Linked DNA regions of Drosophila melanogaster. The protein of the gene in region 2 interacts with the protein of the main gene of each other region in a biochemical or structural test. Each region holds a gene or a part of one and is shown on either strand. Other genes may lie near its edges.

Region 1 (3,753 bases), on a different chromosome or scaffold from region 2:
TAAACTAAACTGGCGAAGGAAAAAGAGTTTGCCGTGCGCACGGTTTATGGAGGTCTCTTGACGGTGGACTCCACGAATTGGCTGGTGGAGATGATCAGCTCATCATTCACCTAGCCGTTGCGTATGCCCAGCGCCTGCTCCAATTCGGCCCGCTTCTGGTTGACCTTGGTGAAGAAGTAGCGCGAAACGGCCTCGTGCGTCCATGGCTGGTAATAGAACTCCGCCCGACGCTCCTCCTCCGGATTGCCAGCTACATCGGTCATCAGCTGAAAGGACGAAAGGTTTAGACAACGGTATGAGGCAAAAAAGAAAAAAAAAGAACTAACCTTCAAATCCCTCGTCTCACTGATGATCCAGCGATGAATAAACATTTGTGGATCCTTGGCGAAGCTTAGGAAGAACTCCCTGTTCGTCTTCATCTGGTTGATCGTGTCCACCGTCTCGTGGATCTTGGTGTCCAGCCCCTGGATCTCCTGTTGGCTCGCAGTGCTCATCAGGAAGCTGTTCATCTGGTTTTTGAGCGTATCATCCACCTCCACATCGATGTCGTAGCAGGCAGTCTGCTTGTTCTCTGCACCGCTCTCAATGAAATGATTGATCACAATCGGATCGGGCGGATGCAGCAGCGGATTGAGGCGTTGCGGTATCTCGGCAAACTTCATCCGCTGGCAACTGAATATCTGCTCCAGATACTTGTCGCAATTGATGTACTCCCGCTCGTGGGCATCCTGTAGCTTGTGCGTCTTGATGTACTGCCACAGGGCGGATATGATCACCGGCCTGGTCTGTGTGTGTACGCCCAGCAACCTGGCGAGTCGCGGGTCCAGCTTGAACTGCAGCGGCTGGTAGTCAAGCAGCAGGAGGATGGTGCAGCGCACATTGCGATCGCCCGGCCGCTTCACCTGGAACCCGTCCGTCTCCTGGGTGGTGTGAGTGCGATGCCACTCGACCAGATGGTTGTCCGGACCGTACAGTTCCTTATCCAGCTCGATAACCAGCGACTTGAAAAACGACGAAAACTTGCGTTTGATCTTTGTATTGGGATCGCCCTTGCCATCCTCTAACAGGCGACCCTCCACCCGCAATTCCCAAGAGGCAACGGCGCCCTCCTCGCCATCATTTGTGGGCTCCTTGCTGGGATAGAATGTGTTCGAGATGAAGATGCGCAGCTTGCGCTTCTGCTTCATGGGGCGCTTGAGGGCCTCCTGGATGTCCAGACGTTTGCGCATTATGGTGGCATCCAGTTTTCGCTCAAACGTCAGCAGATCCATGTACGCTTGCGATTCGGGCACCAGATCCCGCACCTTCTGCGGCAGTATCTTTTCGGCCAGCTTCTTTTTCTTTTTGGCCGTCGCAAAATCACTTTTGCTACCACCGCCACCCAAACTGCGGGATTCATTTGACCTCTTGCTGCCTCCGCCGGATCCAACACCGCCACCTCCGGCTCCAGTACCGCGAAGGCTGCTCTGAAAGCCCGGCTGTTGGGCGGCGCGCTGCAGTAGCGATGGTCCCGGTACGCCGGGTACTCCAGGAACTCCCGGTACCCCGGCCACGTTCGCCGTGCCGGGAACAGGTTGAGTAGTGTTCGGATGCAGGGGAAACCCGCGCGGCTGTTGCGGATAAGATTGTACATGCTTAATTGAAACGGTAGGTGCTGGATAATGCGTGGAAAACTCACTGGAAAAGAGGCGCCTGGCGGCGGATAGGGACGCATGCCGGGCGCCGGTGGTGGTGGCTGATAACGCGACTGCACCGGCGCTTGGCCAGGTGCAAAGCGTTGCGACATCTTTGCTACGAAGTCCTCCCTTTTTTCCAGCCGTAAACAATTGCCCTTTGCAGACGAAGGAAAATTTCTGCCTTTTTGTTTCAATACAACAACGCGTCAAACACACACACAATTTCGCCTGTAAAATGGCGTCAAAACAGGGATGCACTATTACTGGTGGTGGTCGACTGGGCGATAGATATTACAACGTTTGGCAGGGCTGCGGCTATCATTTTGCACTTTAATCGAAGTTATTCATTTCAATAGAGTTACAGCTATATAGTTGGCTTTGAAAATATACTTAAAAACTTTCAAGACATTTGTAACAAACAAACAATACGATAAGGAATATACTAGCACTTGCTACTATCGATCGAAAACATTGGTTTGCCCAAACGCTCGATAGTTGCAGTGTCAAGCCATAAACATAAGCAATATCGATAGTCGCCAATAAGTTCGGACAAGTAACGTCTTCTGAAATCGAAGAACGATAGGTTTGAAACCGACTGTCATTTTAACACAGAAAACAAATGGAAATGGAAGACAATTGGTGGGTCACCAAGTTAAAGGCTCTGGAGTCGAAGCCACAAAGGCTGGATGCGCTGACCGCCATGAACTCAGCCATCGCAAAGGAGGCGGCTCTTCCGCGTCAAATAATTGAACGCCTGCTGACCACGGACCAATTGTATGACTGCGCCAATCCCGCCGCGGATTCCCATGTTCCCAAGGATCAGGCCGTGGACGTGACCCTGGAATTGCTGTGCCACTGCCTTGATCAGCTGGCGATGGACACCGCCGACGAGCAGCTGTCCAGTCTGCTAAGACGTGGCTTGACCCACTCGAATCCAGCCTTGCGTGCCCAGGTGTTGGCCAGTTTGTTCAAGAAGCTGCTTCGCCAGTTGACCGTCGGTCAGGTTCTCACCCTGCCCAACAATGAGCTTATTTTCCTCATCTTGGACGAGCTGAAACAACCGGATACGCAGAGTACCTCTCTGGCCATCAATATCCTATCCATCGTGCTGCCTCAGCGAATCAGCAATGCCGATGTGCAGGCAAAGCTAGTACAGCTCCTAAAGCAAAATGAGATCGTGCGCTGTCGCGCCTACGAATTGGCAGTGGTCCTGGCCAAGAAAAGTGCCACCTTACTCAGTGACGTTACATTTATTCTGGATGCGGCTCTCAGCGAACTGGATAACGACGATGTTTTATTGCAGGCTAGCGTAATGGAGCTCCTAGTGCCACTGGCCGAACAAAACCATGGTCTGTCCTACATGGAACGTCGTCGCGTTTTGGATATAATCAGCTATCGGGTCCAACGCGTCGAAGAGCATCCGCTAGACGCCCTGCTCGTTCCCAGCATTATGAAGTTTTTCGGCAAAATTTCCGTATACCAGCCTCTGAAAATCATTGGCGGCTACCCGCACATGCTGGCCTGCTTGTTCATGCAGCTTCAATCGGAGGATGAGAGTATTCTGCCCACTGCCATGGATACGCTTGCCAATTTGGCCACTACTCCACAGGGCAAGATACTGCTGAACATGCACTTTAGCGGGGCCATGGAGAAGTCCTTTAAGAAGTATGGCTCGCATACTAAGAAGCTATCGGCGCACATCAAGAAGAGGCTGCTCAACTCCCTGGATGTGATTTATGACTTCAAGACGCCGCCTGCCACAGAAATCATGTAATGCTTAACTCTATAATTGAAGTTTTTCTTCTAATGATTCTCTTCTTTTTCAGTAACATTGGTAAAAACTGGTACGAGTGCTTCGCTGGGGGAGCGCATGCTAATATCATTATGGACCTGATAAACACTCCGTTCCCCGATCTTCAAATGGCCGCCTTGTCGTTCTTGAAAACCATTTGTAAGTACAACTGGGGCATTGTAGCTCTAAAGAATACCGGCGGTGCTGTGGAGTTCCTTCTTTCGCGTCAAAAGGATCTGCACAGGGACATTAAGTATATGAAGTGGCAAATTATGGAGATTCTGT
Region 2 (3,753 bases):
CCATCTCCGGTAGACATGGCTTGAGCGGCGCTTCCTCCAGTCATTTCGTCATCCAGATCGGTCATAGTGCCACCTAGATATCAGTTTGTTTAGTCAATGCAGATATAAGATAACAAAACTTACCTTTAATGGGCATCATGTCGTTGTCGCCACGAGATTTACCGCCCGGAGCTGGACTGGCGGTGGACTGCAAGGCGGCATTTGCCTTATGAACCTCCTGAACATTGGGCTCGGCCGGCGGATCATCCAGATCGCGAGTTAAGTCCTCGTCATCATCGTCGTTGCGCGACTTTTTGTGCACCACGGCGGGAGAACGCTTACGCTTGCCCGGCTTTGAGGTGGATGCCGAACTGGCGGGAGATGGTGAACGGCGTCTCTTCTGCTTGCCTCCGCCCGAGCTGGCAGCAGGCTTCTTCTTCTCGTCGCCGAATGACATGATGTCGTCTATGGACATACGCTGTTTGTGCGTCTTCTTCTTGCCCTGTTCGTCAACCTCGTAGTCCTCCTCGGCCATCCACTCATTGTACTGCTCCAGGTCCACGATCCAGGATGCAGACACACGCCAACGTTCCGCCGGTGACTCGGGATTCTCCGGAATGTGATCGGGCAGGTCAAAGTTATTCACAGCCCAAGAATCGTAGGACTCGGGGAAGTAGTACCAATGCAGCATCACATGTCCGCCGCGCTTGAAAATGGGCCGCGCATACTCGTCGGGATGTGGGTCCACCACAGGATAGACGATATGGGTGGCGTCCTCCTCGTCCGACACAATCTCTACCCGTCGATTGTCCAGGATCTCGCGCAGTTTTCCCTCGAAGCCCTTTTCAATCTCCGGCCGAATATAGATGTACGGTATGCGATACAAGTCCGCCTCGACCAACGCCTGCTCAATCTCGATCAGCAGCTGGATGTTGGGATCCTTGCGCGTGGGATTCTTGCCAATGGAGAAGTCGAACTTCTTGCCGCGTTGCTCGGCCCGGAAACGGAACATGGTCGAGAAAATGATGCACAGACCACCGCCGCTCTTGAAGTCCAGAAAGCAACGCATCTGGTGTGGGTGGTACGATTATTAGAGATATGTTTTAATGTACGTAAATCATGTAGCTAAATACAAAATATAAGCTAGTGGTCCAAACATTTGGCCATTGGAGGATTAATATTTACGTGTACACACGCAACACGGGGCACCCTGTCCCCCTCACCAACCACAGGCACTATCAATACTAACCGGAATTCTGGTTGCCGGCGGATCCGCTGAGTTCTTGCCCAGCTTGGCTTCCACATACTGCAGGAAGTGAATGAGCAATTGGGCCAAGGACTCCTTCGTGATGGGCTCCGAACTGTGGGCCAAATACTGCAATAAATACGGTTGTGAGTAAATCGTTTTTTTTTCGCCGCCTGACAGCGCCATTTTTGTTTGCGGCGGCGTTGTTGTTGGCACGCACCTTCTTGCAGTTCTTCTGCAGCCACTGGCGAATCGATTCAAAGCCCTGCAGCGTCTCCGGCGACTGGAAAAAGTCTATATTCGGACTTCCGTCCTTCTTAGGACCCAGTGTGTTCATGTTGCGGCACTTTTGTGGACTTTTTGTCAATTATCTTTTCACTTTTCCACGCCAAAAAGCCAATAAACGCTGCGTTGATAAAATAGAGATGGTATTTAAATCGATGTTGTTGTGACAGTCGTTATCGATATTTCAGCTATCTCCACTGAAAGTTATCATTATTTTAATCTTAGGTTAGGTTAATATATAAACCTATTGGTTGGTGGAAGCCATATATTAAATAACAAGAAAACATATTGGCTGTTAAGAGAATTATATAGACTTCGAAAAAGTTATAGCTAGCTAACGTGTCAGTTAGCTTTACATCTCAGTGGGAACAAGCTATTATGTGAAAATTGCTGTTAAATTCAATAATGCCATCTGGTCACAGTGGCGGTGGTGCTGTATTGGCGTCCCGCTCGCGCCGCCTAAAAACCGATGCACCACGATAGTCAGGCCGCACATATAAATGCGACTCCATCGCGCTAACATGGCTGCTGGGAACCGAAAACTTAAAAATATTGTGCTGTCAGAGTGTGTTTGCATCAGCGTGAAGCCCAGTGTTAAGTTAAAACATTGACTGCCTACGCCCACCAACGACAATTGCCGTAAATCGAATTCTGCCGTTATTCGCAACGCCGGATTCCCATCCGTGTGTCCGTCGCGAGTGTGCCAGTGTGCGTGAAAATAAAAAGTCAATGGTGCGTGAGTGCGAGTGAGTAGGAAGAAAGCAAAAGCGATTGGATTGATTTGTGACGCTGCTGGCGAAAAGCAGTACCCAGTACCCCTTTCCTTGGGCCAAAACACACACATACGTACGGCTATAGTAACTCAGCATCGATTGTACAGTTTGAGAGCAAACAATTCAATTAGAAAATGCAGAGCGCATGAGTTGAATTGTGAGTGGGCGCCCCACATAAGCTGACTGCTACCGCACAACGAAGGGAACTAGAAAGAGGAGTGCGTAGTGCGGAGAGAAGAGCAAATGCGAAGCGAAGAGGAAGAGAGCGAGAGAGAGCAACCATTGCCAAAGGTAAGTGATATAACACTCGGAGATCGGGAGTGGGAATGCGAATAGGAACATAAGGAACCCCTAAATTCTTATCCTAGATTGCAACATTATTTATATGGCAGCAACTTATCGCTTCCGCTTGCTTGTGTGCGTGCGATAGAGATAGATAGAGTGGGGCCAAGGGGCTCTGTTTATTGATAAGAGAGGAGAGCGAGCGAGAGAGAGGGAGAGAGAGAGGAGGTGGGCGCCAACGCAGCAAAACAGCGGAAATCCTTTACAAAAACTTGGTCTACCACTAGCTCTTTGTCTTCGCCTTCTAGTCTCTCTCATCTTGGCAGCCCGTTCTAGTGCGCGTATTTTTAGTCGCAACACATTGCCCAATTCGCCAGCCGCTATTTGTGTCGTCCATTTGTTCATTCATCGGGCTCTTTTTCCGATTTCAGTGGGTGGCATTTAACAATAATCCCTGCGTTCGCTGTCCACGTCCACATTACGATACGTTTAGTGCACGGAAAGAAATAAGCATGTGGTTTCATAATATTAGCTATTGAAAAAAGTTCTTAAATTTAAGCCTCACTCGATTCTGATGCATGAAATATTATTGGATTGTAAATGAGCGTCATGTTTTGGTATACAAATCTCAAAGTAATTTAAAAATTCTCATCTTACCGTACCTTGAACCACTACCAATCATCTCAGTACAGCATTTCAGCGAATTTCTCACTGTGCACTACAATGCCAGGCGGTACAAGCACCTGTATTTATTTATGGTCCGCTGCCGTAATCGACTGCAGTCGCCGCTTCCCTCTCTCTTTTGCTACCAACAACTTGGGGTAGGGCACCTGAACTAGTTTCAAACGGCGGCGGTCGGCCTTTTCAGCTTTTTCGCATTTGCCATTTTCCCGCGGTTCGCAACATCAGCGACATTTGTCACAGTTTCTTAAAGAACATTTGAATATCCAAAGTTTACTTGCCGAACTTGACTGCGGCATTGCGATGATGATGCTGCCCGTTGTTTGTCATTCAGCTCCATTAATTCGATACCAATCAGTATTTCGTGCATTGTGCAAAATACGCAGCAACAGCTGTTCCAATATTGGCCAAATATGGTGCAAATATTGAACTCTTCGCATATAAAAAACATATGGCGCGATCAATGCCGAAATGTGTCATTTTCGGCGAATTTGAGCAGATGACCCA

The links. The genes of interacting proteins can lie anywhere in the genome.
Region 1: the proteins of mor (region 2) and Bap60 form a complex in vitro, tested with the Drosophila melanogaster proteins (2 studies listed by BioGRID, with this or other methods).

What each region holds. Positions count from the first base shown.
Region 1 is NC_004354.4:13,157,588-13,161,340, forward strand, and holds the start of Bap60 (brahma associated protein 60kD), read right to left. Parts: upstream 1,922-3,753; 5' UTR 1,787-1,921; coding exon 1,679-1,786; intron 1,611-1,678; coding exon 327-1,610; intron 267-326; coding exon 111-266; 3' UTR 1-110. Other genes in the region: CG12096 (uncharacterized protein), read left to right, coding at 2,296-3,446, 3,503-3,753. UniProt on the Drosophila melanogaster protein: Involved in the recruitment and site-specific anchoring of the Brahma complex at specific promoter sites.
Region 2 is NT_033777.3:15,971,251-15,975,003, forward strand, and holds the start of mor (moira), read right to left. Parts: upstream 1,664-3,753; 5' UTR 1,563-1,663; coding exon 1,446-1,562; intron 1,355-1,445; coding exon 1,229-1,354; intron 1,049-1,228; coding exon 124-1,048; intron 74-123; coding exon 1-73.